Linked DNA regions of Cricetulus griseus. The protein of the gene in region 2 purifies or fractionates together with the protein of the main gene of each other region. This does not show direct contact. Links are inferred from orthologs where the notes say so. Each region holds a gene or a part of one and is shown on either strand. Other genes may lie near its edges. The genes, in order: Prr5l and Rictor.

Region 1 (8,950 bases), on a different chromosome or scaffold from region 2:
ACTGTGACAGCCCTTCCTAGTGACGCCACACTCAGACCCCAGAGGTGTTTTGTTAGGTCTTCACCAAGGCTTGAAGAAATTTGCATTTTTAAAACCAACCTTTGGCTGGGCAGTGGTGGCATACTCCTTTAATGCCAGCATTTGTAAGGCAGAGAAGGAAGATCTCTGTGAATTTGAGGCCAGCCTAGTCTACAAAGCAAGTTCCAGGACAGGCTTCTAAAGCTATAGAGAAACCCTGTCTCGAAAAAACAAACAAACAAAAAAATCAAAAAACAAAAAACCAATCTTTGGGAGTCAGATATACCAATTTTAAAAAACAAAGATAATTCAGAAAAAATAATAAAGCTTAAAATTGTAAAAGAGCTGGGTGCAGTGGCTATTGCCTTTAATTCTAGTACTCAGGAGGCAGAGGCAGGCAGATCTCTGTGGGTTTGAAGCCACCTTGGGCTAAGTAGTGAGTTCCAGGACAGTGAGACCCTGAAATAAGTTTAAAACAAATAAAACCAAAAAATTTTACATAAAGATGGGGCTGGAGGGATGGCTGAGAGGTTAAGAGCCTTGGCTGCTCTTCCAGGTCCTGAATTCAATTCCCAGCAACCACATGGGGGTTCACAACCATCTATAATGAGATCTGGTGCCCTCTTCTGGTGTTCATGCAGACAGAGCACTCATATGAGAAAAAAAAATTTTTTTACATAAAGAAAGAAATTTTAATTTCAGGTTTTCTGGGAACATCTCTGCATGCTTCCCAGCCGGTCTCCCCATTCAGAGGGCCCCTTGGCACCTTGCTTGCTTCTCTGGGCTGTGGGGCAGGTGACATCAGGGTTAGCTCCCACCTTCCTAGCTGCCCACAAAGATCTTTGAAGTACAATGTCAGGATCTGTGTCCTGACTTGAGAAACAATTAGCACATTCCTGCGCCACTGGATTATTTATTTATATTGCCACTGGAGACTAAAGAACCTGTGGGGAGGGGCAGGAACTCGGGGCTTGGAGTAAGCTGGGCTCTTTCTTGCAAGTCTGAGGCTGGTGACCCAGCTTTGCCCCTGACACCATACCTTCTTGGGACCTCACTTTCTTCCCTGTAAAATGAGGCCTTGGGCTAGATGGTCTCTTTTGTCTCTTTCCACATTTATGTAATTGTGACAAGAAATTCAAGTACATAGGAGGTAGAAATGTAACACAACCACTCGCTTATGTGCTGTAAAGGCTTGAATGAAAACAGAGCTCTTAAACACCCAGCTGACCTTGATTCAATGTAAACAAGGCTTGAACAATGGCCTTGTTTGTTTGTTGTTGGGCCACTGCAGGGCTGGGTCTTTAGCCTAGATGTTCTCCCTTTAGGTACCCAGAGAGGAATTAAAAGGCTAGCTAGCTAATTCAACTCCCTGGCCTTAGCTGAGCCTGGGGCTCTGAGCCCTGTTTCCTCTCTCATTTCACCAAGACGCAAGCCCAACTATGCCACCATCCCACCACCAGCACCCTGTGTACTTAGGCTTCCTTTCACTGCAAGCACAGAGACCTGTGCTCCTGCTGATTCTACCCACTGGAACCCTCCTCCCCTAATGAATCTCTGATCGTGGCATAAGCATCACCTCCATTGTCCCTGGACTCTTGGCAAAACCAAGTCATATTACCATGCTTTCATCATATCAGCTCGGTCATCACACAGCTCATGACTGGTTGACTAATAATCATCTTCCCATCTGACTGTCCACTCCAGGGCAGTGAGGTTGGGATGTGGCTCAGTTGACAGAATGCTTACCTGCTACACAAGAGGCCCTGGGCTCCCTCCCCAGCATCTTAGAAACCACAGATGGTAGTACATACTTTTATCCCAGAACTCCAGGAGGTGGAGACAGAAGGATCAGGAGTTCAAGGCCATGCTCAGTTATATAGTTGGTTCAAGGCCAGTGTAGGCTACCAAAAAAAAAAAAAAAAAAAAAAAAAAACAGGACAGCAGGACCACATATGTCTGCTCCAGCACCTGGCCATCAAGGCAGTACATATTTATTACTAAGTCTTTATTAACAAATACAACTCTCAAATAATCTGGCTCCAAACACTTAGTCATATTGCCTAATACAGTGTTCAGAATTCTGTATTGCCTAATACAGTTTACAGAATTAGCACCATCTATCAACCTGCACCCCCAGCACAAAGTGCATAATACACATGAGCATAGGCATCATATCAGAATGAGAAGTCTAGATGGTAAAGGTCTCAATACGACACACACAACAACAATTTAGCAGCAAGTACAAAGCAAGGTGGTAGGGGTGGGAGGTGGGGAGGACCTGAAGCCTCCCAATGAAATACCAGCACTGGTTTTGGCCAGCCAAGTAAGTACCTGATGTTCTCGTTCAGTGCATATAGCTCATTGCTCTGCAAGCCACCCCCTTTGAAAACGTTGATCACAGCTGTCTGCACACTGCAAAGAGAAAGAAACACATGCCAGTTAGGTGATCTGCCTCCAGGGGCCATTTTTTTCAAACTGCTCCCAGGGGAGGTCATGGAAGAGCTGGGAAGCCCTAAGGGATACTCGCAGCCACTTCTTCTGTCCCAGAAGTACTGAGAAGACTGGGGCAAAGGATCCAAAGGGAGTTCCAGGACACTTGCAGGTCACAGGGGCTTCTTCCCCTTGCTCACATGGAGGTAGGCAATAGATCAGCTCTCTGAGAACTGCCAGCACTGTGGCCCTGCAAGCATCCAGATAGCATTCATTGCCAGCAGGAGTTGACCCTGACTGCTTACTACTGGGAAGTCACCATCTTCTCAGACAGAGACTGAAACTATCGCCTTTAAGATAGAATTTTCCATGGGCTTTCCTTGTCCCTTTGTTTCACCCCAGGGAGGGAAGTATACTGTCATAAAATTGGGCTCTTAAAGGACCACAGCAGCAGCAGCAGAAGAGCTGATTATAATCTTGTCTGTGCTGAGGAATTTTACAAAGGACAGTGATCCTCAGAATGCCAGAACATTCCAGGCAGCCCTGCTGAACTGCATCAGCTGAGTGTGCCTGATGGCCTGTCACTGAAAAAGCACAGAGAATTCAGTAATACTCATTTATCCAGAGGCCAACACAGCTTTGGAAACCTTTGGCCCACAGACTTCCAAGGCAGTACTGATGGGCTGATCTGCTCCGGGCATGGTCCACAAGCTCTGCTGGACACCTCCCAAAGCTACATCTCCTCTCCCAAGCACCAGTGGATGAGGAGAAAGAGAATGTGACGTACACCATTCATTGAGCTTTGCACAGAAACACACCTAAGCTTCCTAAAGGGGAAACAGGTGATATAAGGTCATCTGAAAGACCCCACCCTTAGATACTCACCCAGTGTAGGGTGTTAAGCGGCATAAACTGGAACTATAAATTCTAAGTCAATGATCCCAGGCTGGCAAAATGCACCCTGATAGGCTAGAACTCCCAGTGAGCTACCTTCTCTATGAAAACAGGGGAACTTGCCCCATTTATCATCTGCACCATGATCAGACTTCATGAGTAATGCTCTCTGAGGCAGCAGATGTTCGGCTCACCCCCAGATTACCCCAAAGCCCTCCCTGATGGTGCTGGACCCTCAGGCCCTTACCTGTTCCAGGCAGAGTTGGAACTCAGCTGCAGAGCCTGCCGTGCAGCCTGGAAGCGGGGCAGCTCGCTGAGCACAGGGGAGCTCATAAATCGTGGTCTAGGACGGCGGAAGGAGCCCATCTTGTGGAACTCAATGGGCAGGAGGGGAGCAAGGCCTCGGGTCATAAGTCCAGGTGAGGATTGAGCTGTGTCTTCAGGACCAGACGTCTCTGGCTACTCACAGAAAAGGCTTCTCCCAACGCTGCTTCTGGGTTCTCTTAAAAGCCCCCTCTGAGCCAACACCTGAAATGACAGGCAGCCTCTACTGAAAACATGTAACGAAAGGATGTTGGCTAGACTCTCTAGCTAAATGATCCTAAAATCAATGACACTGCAAGAGCCTCTATTGCCACCGAAGCTCTCCTGTCTCGTGTGTGTGTGTGTGTGTGTGTGTGTGTGTGTGTGTGTGTGTGTGTGTATTAGGCATGGACCCAGGACTTAGAACATGGGCCAGCATGCTATGACTGAGATACACACTAAACCGTAACAGAAGAATAGCCTTTGTGAATGCCTTAAGTGAAATGTAAAAGCTCCTTTTCCTTCCACCCCCTGTTCCATCAGTCACTACGTGTTGTTCAGTATTTCTCAAGTCGTGACTGTTTCTTCACTCAGGCACATCTTGCCCTCCCTTTCCTACCTGCCATGTGTTATGCAGTCCATCAGGATATATTTACTGTTTGTTGTATAACAGCCATTGTAACATGTCAAGCACCCCAAATCGCCAAGGCCCAGGCCCTGCCTTCCAGAGATTCCCACTCTATGGTAAAGATGACTAACAATTCCTATGCCTGTTCATTCAATAAATACATATTGAGCCTATAAGCTCCAGTCACTGAGGTACTGGGCAATGATAAAATGACAGCCGTGGGACTGTCCCATCTCTCCCACCCCAGGTCTCTTTCCAGGCTTTTAAGCCAATTCTTGTTCTCCTTTACCAGATGATCTTCCTTGGGCTTTGTGCATTTCTAGATCCAACTAATTCAGTCAGGTTGAGTCTTATAATCTTGTTCCTGAGCAGGGCTAGTGTGCAGACTTGTAATTTCAGCAACTCAGAAGGCTAAAGCAAAAGAATCTGAAATCAAAAGCATTCCTGGGCTACAGAGTTTGTTAAGGTCAACCTGAATAATTTAATTAGACCCCCACCTCAAAATAAAAAGTAAAAAATTATAAAAAGTGTCAGCAAGATGGATCAGCAGGTAAAGGTATCTGCCACCAAGTATGACAACCTGGAATTCAATCCCTAAGACCCACATGATAAAAGGAGAGCCAACTTCCACAAATTGTCCTTGGACTTCCACCAAGTATGCTACACACACACACACACACACACACACACACACACACACACACACACACACACACACGAGAGAGAGAGAGAGAGAGAGAGAGAGAGAGAGAGAGAGAGAGAGAGAGAGAGAGAGAGAGAGAAAATAAACATTTGTCTTAAGTAAAGAGTGCTGGGAATGTAACTCAGACGTAGAACACTTGCTTAGCATGTGTGCATGCCTTAAGCTCTTTGGGGTCAATGTTCAGTTCCTTGTAGCAAAACACAAGACGATTTGTAGCTCTGGTGGGAACCAATGGCTTTTCAATGAGCTTTCATTCTGGGGTTCATGAACTAACACAGGTCCCAAGTTGTACCACTTCAAACACTGTGAGCGCAGTGTTCTCAGGTGCTAAAGGACCAACCTCACAGGACTGGGAGGGATAAAATGAGATCAGCTGACATGCCCAACAGAATGGTAGAGCACCCATTCTAGCCTCAGGAACTAGCCTCAGGGCTAGCTAGTTCCCTCCATGCTCTTCTCTTTTGGACCCATTATTGCAGCCACTAGAGCAGACTGGAATATTGCTGTAAACAGCCAAAGGCACTTTCTCTTAAACAGTTGAGTAGATTTCACTTAGGGAGTGCCTTTGTTTTTGTTTGTTTGTTTTTAACTGTTACTTCTGGTCAAGTTAACTCAGATAAGTCCCAGATACTAACTAAGAAAGAAAAGTAAGATTCCATCCATGAGTGCACAAGAGTTAGCCTGCAGGTTGGCAAGGGAAGTCCCACAGCCTTGGCTGCAGCATTGGCGGACAGGGAGGGACAACACAACCAGCACCATGACAATGCAACTCTTCAGGAAGGCATGGAGGTGCTGATGGCTTTGTGTAGGCAATGGGCCTACTGACACCGAATTCAAGAGTCCAAGGGCCACAAGAAGGATGGCTAGTCCCCCTTTGTAGCTCTGTAACTGCTCTCCTTAAGGGTAGGAATTGTGTGGGCCATGTTCTTAAACAGTCTTTGCCTGGAAACCCTGCACACTGAGAAAGTCAACAGTTATCAAAGTTGACCAATAACTGTTGCAGAAGCCTGTTATGTTCCTGAGAGGGTTTCAACAGGTTCCCAATTACCCCAAAATCTGGAAGGAACTATGCACACCAGTGATGAGAGGAAGGGGAAATAAAACCATGGAACCCTAAGAATAATAATACTGGCTGGCTGGAGTTTTTACTTGGCAGCAAAGGTCCTTTTACTTAGACAAGATGCCTCCCTGGGCCCTGCTTTGGGAGGCTTGTGAAATGCAACTCACTGGGATTCCCGGATATTAACTCACTGTGTAAGGGTCTCAAACCAAAGACAATGAAGCTGCTGCCCACTCTGGGGCACTAGCTTGAGGAAGCAGAAGACTGCACAGGACACGTTGTCATGGGTTGCACACATGCCACTTCTCCTGGGAGCTGAGATTCCAGAGTATCTAAGGTGGCTCCTCCCTCTCATGTCTCAGCTACAGCACCCGGATCTCATTCCAAGCTATCTGAGCACCCTGCACAGCACCCAAGGCAGTCTTGGCCATGGCACAGCTCCAGCAGCATGGCCTGCCCCATTATAAATAAGGGTAACTTTCAGCCCAAAGGATTATCAATGACCATAGTCCCCACACCCCAAGTCAAGGACACACACAGCAAGGAGTTCCCTCTGATTTGTTTACAGCCCCCCAAACTTTGTCTTCTTCAAATGCTGAAAAGATGAAGGAAGTATGTGGTCCACACCAACCCTGCTTGTCACAGAGCCCAGCAGCCACATGGAGACCGAGGGAGTAAGCTATAGGACGTGTTGACATGGGCCTGAAGTAAGGTTGGCACACCCTGTATACACCTGCTAAGGCCCTGGCCCGTCAAACACTGACTTGTCCTGACCCACATATGACAAGTCAGAAGTGACAAGACAGACAGGTCCTAGGAGTGCAGTCATTTAGAACCAACAAATGTAGAGCAAATGAGCAAACATATTTATCTAAAATCTCCAACACAGGACTAAGCCAACACAGCTTACAACTTCCATTCCCCAATTCTAGGCCTGAGTTCTGCAGCTTCAGGAGGCCACTGTAGGAAGACCTTGAAGGCAGACAGGAGATTGGGTCACTCTGAACCCATAAGCCTTAGCTCACTCACTGCTCAAGACAAAGGTAGAGTTAAAAATGAATGAAGCATGGACAAGCTCTCTGATAGGATACTGGGCCCTGTCACTAAGGTGACTTATTCAGCCCTCACAAAATGCCATCTGAAGTTAGAGAAGTAACCAACCTGAGGGCATACAGCTAGCTAGAGGCAAGTCACTGACGTGTCAAGGTTGGCCCGCCTTTCCAGCCCATCTCCACCTTCCACACTACTAAACTGAGACAGGATCCCAGAATCAAAGCTACTGAGTTTGAAATGGCAATCACCCGCCTTCATATCAAAACCTAAATCTCAACCTCTGAGAGAAGAGATCTACCAAAATCAACTCCACGGCCACACAGGATCGGGACAGAAGGAACAAAGGAAGAGAAAGGACACCACAAGGAAATGCAGGCTGTGCCAGTCAGAGAGACAGTCACCATCACCCACTGTGTGACCTTGGACAAGGTACTTGACCTTTGAAGCTTGATTTTTCTCCCTGGGAAAGGGGTACACCAACAGTGAATCCTTGGGGTACTGGAAGCATTTGTGAAGCATTTGCCTTCAACAGTGCCTGGCCAGTGGCAAGTGTGACACAGGACTGACCAAATCAATAAAAGAACATTGTTTGGTATTGTGTCAAGATTGCCCAGCCCCCACAGCAGTGGGAAAACAGCTTCCCCAGAATCTGAAACATTGCCTCCAGCCAGGACCCTGACACTGTCACAGAAATTGACTCTTGTTTCTTCGGCCTTTGGTGACTCACACACAGCTTTAGGTACTGAGGCTTCACTGCCCTAACTCATACATCCCCTGCTTCTAAATCTCACCCAACCCCAGGCTGGGGATGCAGGTCTGTCAGAGGAGTGCCCATGTTGCATGAACTAGCACTGTATCAACCTGTGTGATGGTACATGTCTGTAATCTAAGCACTGCAGAGATGGAGACAGGAGGTCAGAAGTGCATAGGGAGTTCAGTGGCAGCCTGGGTGACCAGAGACTCTTTTCTATAAACAAGAAAACAAACACACATACAAATATTGTCACCCAACCACACGAAGCAGGCAGAGCAGGGATTCTACCCTTAATGAAGAAAGGGAGGCAGAGTGACTCACCCAGCCAGGACTGGAGGGCTGTAAGTAACCCAGAGCTGGTCAAGAAGGTTCTATATTTAAGCCTGGCCCCATAATGTACCAGCCCAGGTGATTGGTTTTGTCTTTTTTTCTTAAATATTTCAAAATGTTCTCATTCTGATTCACACTTGGAAACTGTGCACACATTTCAATCATGACAGAGAGCTGCCAGCAGCTTGAGTAATATACAACACTGCCTCAGAAAGCCATGCTCCCACTTTCTGGGCAATGGCATATTTGCTCCTATATAAAAAAGACAGTAAACATTCGTGCTGTCTGCAAACAAGAAGTGAAAGGCTACCTGAAAGCTGACAGTATACAAACTGATGCTATCCATGATGTCACCCATGGCCATATAGAGCCACTAAACACTTAATATGTGGCCTGTGCAACCGAAGAGTTTTGAATTTACTTAACTTTGTGTCTGTGCCTACATGTCCGTGTGTGAACACCTGTTAAGAGTATCGCCTATGGAGGCTTGAAGTCACCATCAGGTGTCACTCCTCCTCAGGAACCGTCCACCTTGATTTTAAAATGAAATTGACTCTCCTTCCCCAAGAAGCTTCCAAAAGCTCGTCAGCTGGGGATGGTGCCTATGCTCCCCCCCCGCCCCCAGACCCCGCTCCATGCTAGCATGCTGACTGGTTTGACCTTGTGCAGGCAGCCACAGCTGCTATGAGTTCATGAGTGCAGGGGTCCTATCATGTCTAAGAAATACTGTTTCACTTTAGTCTTCAATTTTCTGTCTCTTGCACTCTTCCCACTCTC
Region 2 (8,950 bases):
AAACAGGTTATATGAACGTATCATTTCAATTAACTCTGATAACTGCCTAAACAAAATCAGTACTTCTGAGAGGTATATGTTGAAACAAGATTATAAAACTATTAAAATGGTTCACATGCACACATTCACTAAAACGTAGCAGTTCATAGCACAGAATAACATGTGTAAAAAATAAGCAAATCCCCATTTCCTTCATTGCAAAAAAAAAAAAAAAAATATGCCTCTGACCCATGAAACTAGTTTTAACATTCCTCTTGCACTTTAAGAAAGAACTATTCTGGGTTTTATCAACTTGAGAGATTGGGGATTCTCACTAGAAAAACAACTGTGTTTTAATTTTTAGTTGACTGAGTTATTTTGGTTTAGTTTTACTTTAACCCCAAAGTTTAGTAAGCCTAATTTTTGTTGTCACCTCACTAAAAAGAGAAATTCATTTTCAAGGTAAGGAGTCGCATGAGAACCAAGAGAACACATTACCTCCTGAATCGTGGGAAAACATTCTTGCACCTCGGTCATCTGGTGGAGGCACGTGCTTTGATTGAAAATAAGGAATATCCTTTATCTAAAATGCATACAGAGCATGGTCAGCTTCACCATACAAAGAAATTCATCTTAGGAACATGAAGGGAATTCAGGGAAATGCAACAAATAGAATTATTGTAGCATAAATCTATAAGGCAAAATTTACTAAAGTTTACCAAAACATAATCAAATAACTGTCTCTGAACCATCATGCTCTTGATGAATTAAATGGGTATTCAAATAGTTAAGTGTTTATATAAAATATCTAGGCCCTAGGGATGGTTCAGTGGGTGAAGAGTGCTTGCTGTAAAAGCATGAGAAGTTTCAATGTCCTTCATCGACAGAACATGCTGGGTGTGGCCATGTGCTTGAGAAACTAAGCTGTGAAGGGTGGAAAAAGAATGACTGCTGGGGCTTGCTGGCTGCCAGCTGAGCTATAAATTCAATGAGCACTCCTATTGTGGTGATACTGTGTTTATGATCTAATAAAGCTTGCCTAAAAACCAAAGTGTAAAGCTAGCCAGCCACAGCTAGAGGCCAGGCAGTGGTGGCACATACCTTTAATCTCAGGATTCAGGAGACAGAGGCAGATGAATCTCTGTGAGTTCAAGGCTACCCACTAGAAATTGTGTATTATCTTACTGGAGCATGGCCGTTCTGAGTGTAAAAAGGGATCAATGACTAAAAATTAGTAAGTTACATGAATCTAAAAGACTGTTAGGAATTTACTAAACTTCTATAGACTACACATAAATCAAACAAGATGCTAATTTATTACAGTCAGACAAGGTTAGCATTTCAGAGACTGGAGACTAAACAAGATTCTTACTCACAAGACACGAGTAAGCGTAAAGAACGTGGGATTCTTAAAAACCTTTATCTTTCTTTCCCATAGTAAATGTATCCACTATAAACTAAAGTTCTAATAAGCAGTTACAGAACAATAAAAAGCAAAACAAAACCAGCAGGAAGCCAGCTCGTAGGAAAACAGTAGTACTCTGAATGTTACCTGGAATATATCATTGATGTCCACTGGAAGGGCAAGTCCAATGTAGTCATCAGAACCTCCATATGTAGCACTGGATACCATGGACCTAACTGAGGAGGATCGCTGCAGGGTATTTTGATTAATAGGACTTAATAAATCTTCTTTATCTAATGATGCGTAACTTAAAGCTTTCATAAACCTATAACATCACAAAAAAAAACCTTAAATTAGCTTCTTGATTTGTACTATTAAGTATATTAACAAAAAAAAAAAACCCTAATCTTATACCACTATCAAAGTAGCTGGTCAAACATGAAGCAGTACCATCTTAAGTCTGCTGGGAACACATAAGCACTTAAACATTAGCTGCTATTGGCCAATACACAGGTTGCCAGTAGTGTTAAATGTCACCAAAAGAACAACTGCTATGTTCTCCCAGGTGAAGATGAGAAGGTGGGTAAGGAGAGCAACATCAGCATGCAGAAGCAATAAAGGAAACTAACCTATAGACAAGTACAGCTCAAAGACTACCTGTGCAGTCAGCAGAGGTTGCTGGACTTGCTATACTGCTAAAGGTATATCTATTAACACCAGGTAATTTATTATGAAAAGTGCTTTATCGCATAAGATTTGTGTAGCATAGAAGGTACACATACCATAGTAAATATTACAAGGGTATCATTTGTAAATATTACAAGGGCTATCTCACAGAACTCTAGTCTTTCTTTATAGGGTACTCTTCACAAATGATTCCCTAACCATGGTATGTGGACATCTCTATCAGATACACTTCTGACATACAGATCACTATTCATGCAATAGACACAGTTCACTCTGTATATGCCTTCTCAAATATATGAAGCACCATTCAAAGTCTCACATTACTGACTGGAAAACCAAGTCTTATAAAGTGTAAAATGGAAATCAAAGGATTACTTCACATAAACACACAAAAGGAATGTGCTTTAAATAGTAGCTACTAAGGTTATAGTAGCAAAAACAATTCCTAATTTCCAACAGTATTCATATCTGAAATTTATGAATTGTATGAAAGAAGTCAATGTTTTTCAAATGGTATGGTTTAGTTTCTTTGATTCTATAAAACTCTCTAAGGACTACTTGAGTCAGAGGGATTATGAGGGTATTTCACTTTCCAATTCTATTTCAATCATCAGCAGCTCCATTTTAAACCGTTTTATTTATTGGGTTTTTATAGAAAACCTTCAAGACGTTAGTTTGTTTCTGCTTAGAAAGTAACATTTTAAGAGTTTACAAGCACTCATTTAGCCTAGTCTCCACCAGACAACTCATAAGCTCGGTTTCTTGGCTGGAGCTCTTTATCCACGGCTTGCTGAGAGGCGTGTGGTTCTATTATGGATTCACGAAGATGCCAGAGATAGTGACTTCTAGTTATACCAACCGTTACTGTACCATTTTTTAAGAGGGGACGAAATTTACTATCAGTTACCAGCACCTTCTTTATAAAAAAATGCTACTAAAAATCAGATGTGAGAGACTGATGGATGATATAAATAAAAATAACTATTATATTGATAGTGAGAATATCCTGCAAACTAGTGTTTATTTTTTACCAGATACTGGTCTAACTACTTGACACCTAGTTATCTATTTAAAGGGATATAAATCATTTAAATGAATATAATTCAACTATGAGAAGTCTAACAACAAAAACATTAAAAAAAACCCTAAACTTCATACTATTAATAGCTTGATCTAAATATAGAATATTTAATATATAAATAGAAACTTTTGCTTAATATTGAGGAGCCAGGAATTCATTTTGTGTTTATTAGGTTTCTATTTAATAATGACATGTACTTAAAACAAATTAAAATAATTAACTGACATCTTCAGTTATTTTAAAAAATATTAAGAGGTCAACTTTTGGAGCTTTAAATTGACCTACCTGAAAAGGTTGTTTGTTATTGTAGGTCTTAAGCTCCTGATTCCCCCGACATGCTTCTTTTTAAAATCGATCCTTGCAGAAGCGAGAAATAGATAAAAAAAAGCTTGTGACTTGTGTAACCTTGCAAAACAAGTTTATTTTCAGGGCCTAATGGAGTTTATTTTCCCCCCTCGCAGCTGCAAGAATCCATTTCAAATCATATCAGGTAACAAGGAGCTTACAGCCTACTGTGGTAAATGGATCAGTTCTGAGACTTGGCCTCTGTGGTGCTCAAGCTGACTAATGTCTTACATTTCTATCTATTAAAATTCGACCACTTTCACTTATTTCTAAGCACGTATTGCTCACCTGCTTGGAGTCAGTCTTGACTCAAAACTGTTGGCCTTCATGGTGATGGTATCAGTAAACAGTACGTCTTTTGCTGGGGATGCCAAAGCTTCGGAGTGTGATAAGGATGGGTGCATTCTTTGCTGCTGTAATCTTTTCAATGTAGCATAGCCAAAGGCATCTCTGGAACTTGTGTAGCTAAAGTTGCAATCTGCTAGACTTTTTATTGTTGCAATGGAGGGCGCTTTAAGGGACTGTGCTCTTCTAGGAAGTGTATGAGAAGAACCTGGTGGCACCAGGGACACTGAGTTCGATTTGGAGAGAGACAGATGGTTAGACTGTGGTGTCAAATAGTGGCTTGTCTTAACAGTTTTAGTACTTACCACAGTACTCATACTTCCACAATCTGTGTCCATAGTTGTAGGGTCTACACCAACTGTCTCTCGAGAGGGACTTGAGCTCATTGAACTTATGCCACTTGTTGTAGTGTCTGTGTTAAAGCTTTGGCTGCGGATCTTCATATGTGAGCTTGTTGAGGTTTCTACAACCAACCTCTCCCGGCTTGTGTTTTCTCTGTGATTCTCTGCACCAAAACTCTTGGGGAATTTCAAGTCATTCTCTCCAATACTTGGAGTGCTGCCAGTGTCTTCAAGGTGCTTATTCCCAACAAAAGAAGTTTCAAGCTGCAATGTTTTCTGTGCTGTGGAGATGGGTGTAAAGTCGTCACTGTGATTAAAGTCAACACTGGGCTCTGTAAGTGTTCTGATTCGCCGGTTGCTTGTCTTATTTTCAGATGACAGTTTTCCTCCTTTTGGATCACTGCTACTGCGGTGTTTTTTATTAGGCAAAGTAAGTGAATTTAAGATACGATTCTTTACAAGTTTGCTAGAGGCAAAAAAAGGAAATGAATTTTTATCCTTTATGGGTCCAGGTCGGTCATAAAATGCTGGCTCTGCATCTTCATTGATGTCAAGGAAAAATGTACTGGTGGAGCTGCTGCCGAACCGGTCATCCTCCAGTATGAACATGCCTGTAAATGGAGAGCTAGCTGTCAAAGCATGCAACTATGAAGAGTTCATCACAATGCTCAGCGCTATCCCACCTTTTAAGCAAATCATCTGGGGGGAACATTAAGAAATAAAAATGTCCCCTAAAGATCAGAGTTAGAATATGAATAAAATACAAGATTGTTGTCATGTGAGTATCTGTCATTTCTAAAGAATAACTACAGACTTATCCTAGTACAGCATATATTAAAGTTTTTTTTTTCCCAAATATTCTGGCTAAAATTAAAGAGAAAGCAGGAGACATCCATCCCTTGAGCATGCTCATTCTGTGAGTTCAGAATGGCATGGTTTCTTCTTCCCATCACAGTGGCAGGACACATTCTTCTTAGAAACAGATTCCTAAACTTTAAATACACTGCAGCCTTCCAAGTCAATGAATTGTGTACGTATGAGTTCAACTAACCAGAGACCAAAAATACTCACAGAAAGGTGCTTAAATTAAATAAGTACATATATTTTTCTTGCTATTATCCTTTAAGAATAAAATTCACTATTGAGTGTCTAGATTAGGTATTAAATGATCCAAAGATACAAATTATTTCGGAGATTTGTATATAAGTCAAAGGATTTAAGTATCAGCGGATTTGGATACAGAGGTGGAAGTATGGGATCTCATACAGAAATGGAAGGATAACCATACTAATGGTTAACAAAGACATACATATAAGCTTCATATTTAAACCAATTATGTTTACTGTCCATGTGCACTCACCAAACTTAGTGTCTAACTGTAATACCTCAGTTATCCCAGGTGTCTAACGGTACCAATAAGATTTATTCAATTTGTAACTGTTCTACTGAGTAATTATTAAGAACTTTAAATATATTTTCAAAAAAGGCAAAAGTAAAACCCTAAATGAACTTGCATATTACACTAGCTTTCTATGTCTGTGAACGCTAAGATATATCTTCATGTGCAATCTCTCAAAAACCAAGTTTTACCATGTAATAAAGAGTATGAAGTGGTGTAAGGGACAAGATTTTTTTCCTCTTTTTGTGGTGGAATATAAATATTAGTACTTCTTATAATTCAAGGCATCATGGACTTGGTGAAATATGGTCCAATATATGTTAGATTATCTTTATTTTTTGAGAAATGATTTTACACTGCTGCCCAAGCTGACGTCAAGTTCAGAATGTATCCCTGACTAGTCTTAAACTTTCAACAGTCTTCTTGCCTTAGGCTTACATACTAGGATTATAAAGATATACTTGCAGACCCAACCCCTCTCCATTCCTTCCTTTCCTCATGGGTACTGGTGAAAACACTTAGCCTTGGCCTTATCCTTCAGACTAGACAGGCCTCAAGAGTCTAATGCATGAGCCTCCTGAAGAGCTAGAATGAAAGTCATGGGCAACGAGGCCTAGTTTGTTATCACCTTTTCTTTTTGTGTTTTTTCCTTCCTTTGCATTTCTTGAGACAGGTTTTCTCTGTATAACAGCCCTGGCTGTCCTTACTCTGTAGACCACACTGGCATAGAACTCATGGGGATCCACCTGCCTCTGCCCACCAAGTGCTGGGATTAAAGATGTGCGCCACTATGCCTGGCCTGTATTTATCATCATCTTAAATCTAAGAAGCATTCCTTAAATTCTGTGCAACCCATAGCACTCAACTCTTGAAACATCCGTTTCATACATCGTTTATTTCTGACATCCTATCTTTTAACACTTCCACCAATTTCCTTTTCTCCTCCAGTTCTGGGGCATAAAACCAGAGATTCACCTAAAACAGAAAAGCGCTCTACTACTGAGCTACCCTTGTGGTTCCCACACCATGTAATATCTAATGAAGATATGACTCTCTTAGCTCATGCATTCTACTTCATTTACGTATACTTAAGAAAAAGAAGGAAAGTATTGAGTACATGAGGCAAATTCTGGCTAGGTTTGTTTGGTCTGAGAACAAAGAGAAGTAGTGTCTCTGGTGCATGACTTATTATCATCTCTGAGCACATAATTCCCACAAGCTATTTAAAAAGCACAGCAGCCTTTAATAGGATATCATCATCAAGCCATTCTCTTTGAAAAAGTACACTTCTACCTGAGTGTGGCTACATGCCTGTACTCCCAGCACTCATTAGACAGAAGCAGGAAGAAAATCATCCTTGTCTATTTAGCAAGTTCCAGGTCACACAAGACTATCTCCTAATAGTCTACAAACTAAGCAGAAAAGAGAAATGTGAACTTAGAATGTAACAATACATTTAAGCTTTGAACTCACAAGTAAAATCACCAACAGATTAATTCATGTGAATCCATCACAATACTCACTTGATGGTGCAGACTCACTTTCACTGTTATGTCTAGAGCTGGTCGACTCGGAGTTCAAACTGAGGGTGCTGGGTACAGAAGAAAGCTCATTGCAGAGCTGTTCCACATCATCTGGAACCACTGGCCACAGATGCTTGCGATTGTGCCTCACAGAATCCCAGCTGTGACATTTTAGAATATCACAGCCTTGCTTGGTTTTAGCTATGAGCCCAAGAACATATACACAGGTCCTATAGGGGTAGAGGGAAAAAAAAAACATAGTAAAAAGTTTATAATTCCAAGGTGAGATTTTTAAATAACCATAAAATAGTAGGCTACATGGATATCTACATTTTCCTTAAGAAGACATTTAAAAATTGTTTGATTGTGGAAAACAGCACATTAAATCTAGTGGGGGAATGAATGAAAACCATGTAAGTCTCCCTAATAAAAATAATTAAAACAAAATAAAGGCAGTACAGCAGGATCCTAGCAAAGTATATTTAAATTGACAATATGAATCTTGAAATACTTTGTCTTACATCTATTTGTGAATAAGAATATATTCACTAGAAAGACTTAGGTACGTAACATACCCTCTGATGGAAAGAACCTCACACTGTTTCGCAAGTTTTAGTATATCTGGAATCACATTTTCTTCCTGTAGCAAATTAAGCCCCCAATTCGATGAGCCAATATTTCCCTAAAAGAAATAATATCAAATATTTATGACTAATATTTTGAAGAAACTTTAAAAGCCACCAAGAAAGACATTTAAAGCCAACTATAAAAGAGAGAAAAGTCTATGCAAGGTAAAAACAAAATCTTAAATGAGGTGTGCTAGGAGTAAGCAAACATACTGTTTGTCTTAGGAGAACAGAGGCAAAAACACTAATTGCTTAATCATCTATTTCTTCAGCATAAGAAAAACCTTTAAATTGGTAGGAACAATCTGGTCTTTAAATATTAATCTAAGAACATGTTCAAGGTAAAGTAATTTTAGTTTATTTAATATTAGTGGGAGGAGCCTAAAAAACAGAACCCATAATCACTGCAAAGATCAGAAATGTTTATTACAAACCAAGGCCCAAAGAGCAGCTTTCAGCTTTTTAATTTCTTCCCATTTATCCAAGTCTGGAGTGCGAACATTATGACAGAGTTCTGTGATAACATTCTGAAGAAAAAAAGAAGTATCATGTAAATAACAATATATTATCCTTCTAAAACATTTCCTCATACTTTGGCACAAGTCCACCAAAGGTTTGCTTTCGTCATTTCTGCATATAGAATTCCAAGAGTGACTTTACATACAGCTTATTTAGAAGCCACATAGAGCACAGGTACTATGAGTTCACATTCTAGACTTGTCATTTGTGGTGATATACTGTTTATGCTTTAATAAAACTTGTTTGAAGGATCAGAATGCAAAGCCACCCACACTGGACAGACATAGAAGCTGGGCAGTGGTGGCTCACATCCTTAATCCCAGGACTCAGGAAAAAGAGGCAGATAAATCTCTGTGAGTTCAAGGCCACCAGGGCTACACGAGAGTGAATCAATCAGTCAAAAACAGTAACAGAGCTCATGCCTTTAGTCCCAACACTATTGACATACTATATAAGGAAGAAGCAAAGGGTCTCATATGACAATTAGTCTCCAGCCATGTTGAGGAGAGCAAAGCAGTCTAGGATTCTGAGGCTTGGTGGAGAGCAGTGTAGTCTGGAGATGCAATTTGAGGTTCAGTGGATCCCCCTTCAGTCTGAGCATTTGGTAGAAGTGAGAACTCTCTAGTGGCTGGCCGCTTTGTTTTTCTGATCTTCACCTTTAACCCCAATATCTGTCTCTGGGTTGTTATTATTTGTGCTA

Evidence for each region.
Region 1: the proteins of Rictor (region 2) and Prr5l purify together in Homo sapiens (affinity purification with western blotting; 3 studies listed by BioGRID and IntAct, with this or other methods). This does not show direct contact. The link is inferred for Cricetulus griseus from reciprocal best matches to the Homo sapiens genes RICTOR and PRR5L.

What each region holds. Positions count from the first base shown.
Region 1 is NC_048599.1:75,855,424-75,864,373, reverse strand, and holds part of Prr5l (proline-rich protein 5-like), read right to left. Parts: intron 3,871-8,950; 5' UTR 3,754-3,870; coding exon 3,590-3,753; intron 2,431-3,589; coding exon 2,350-2,430; intron 1-2,349. UniProt on the Homo sapiens protein: Associates with the mTORC2 complex that regulates cellular processes including survival and organization of the cytoskeleton.
Region 2 is NC_048595.1:340,512,913-340,521,862, reverse strand, and holds part of Rictor (rapamycin-insensitive companion of mTOR), read right to left. Parts: intron 8,259-8,950; coding exon 8,166-8,258; intron 7,788-8,165; coding exon 7,681-7,787; intron 7,336-7,680; coding exon 7,106-7,335; intron 4,795-7,105; coding exon 3,786-4,794; intron 3,510-3,785; coding exon 3,438-3,509; intron 1,710-3,437; coding exon 1,532-1,709; intron 563-1,531; coding exon 478-562; intron 1-477. UniProt on the Homo sapiens protein: Component of the mechanistic target of rapamycin complex 2 (mTORC2), which transduces signals from growth factors to pathways involved in proliferation, cytoskeletal organization, lipogenesis and anabolic output.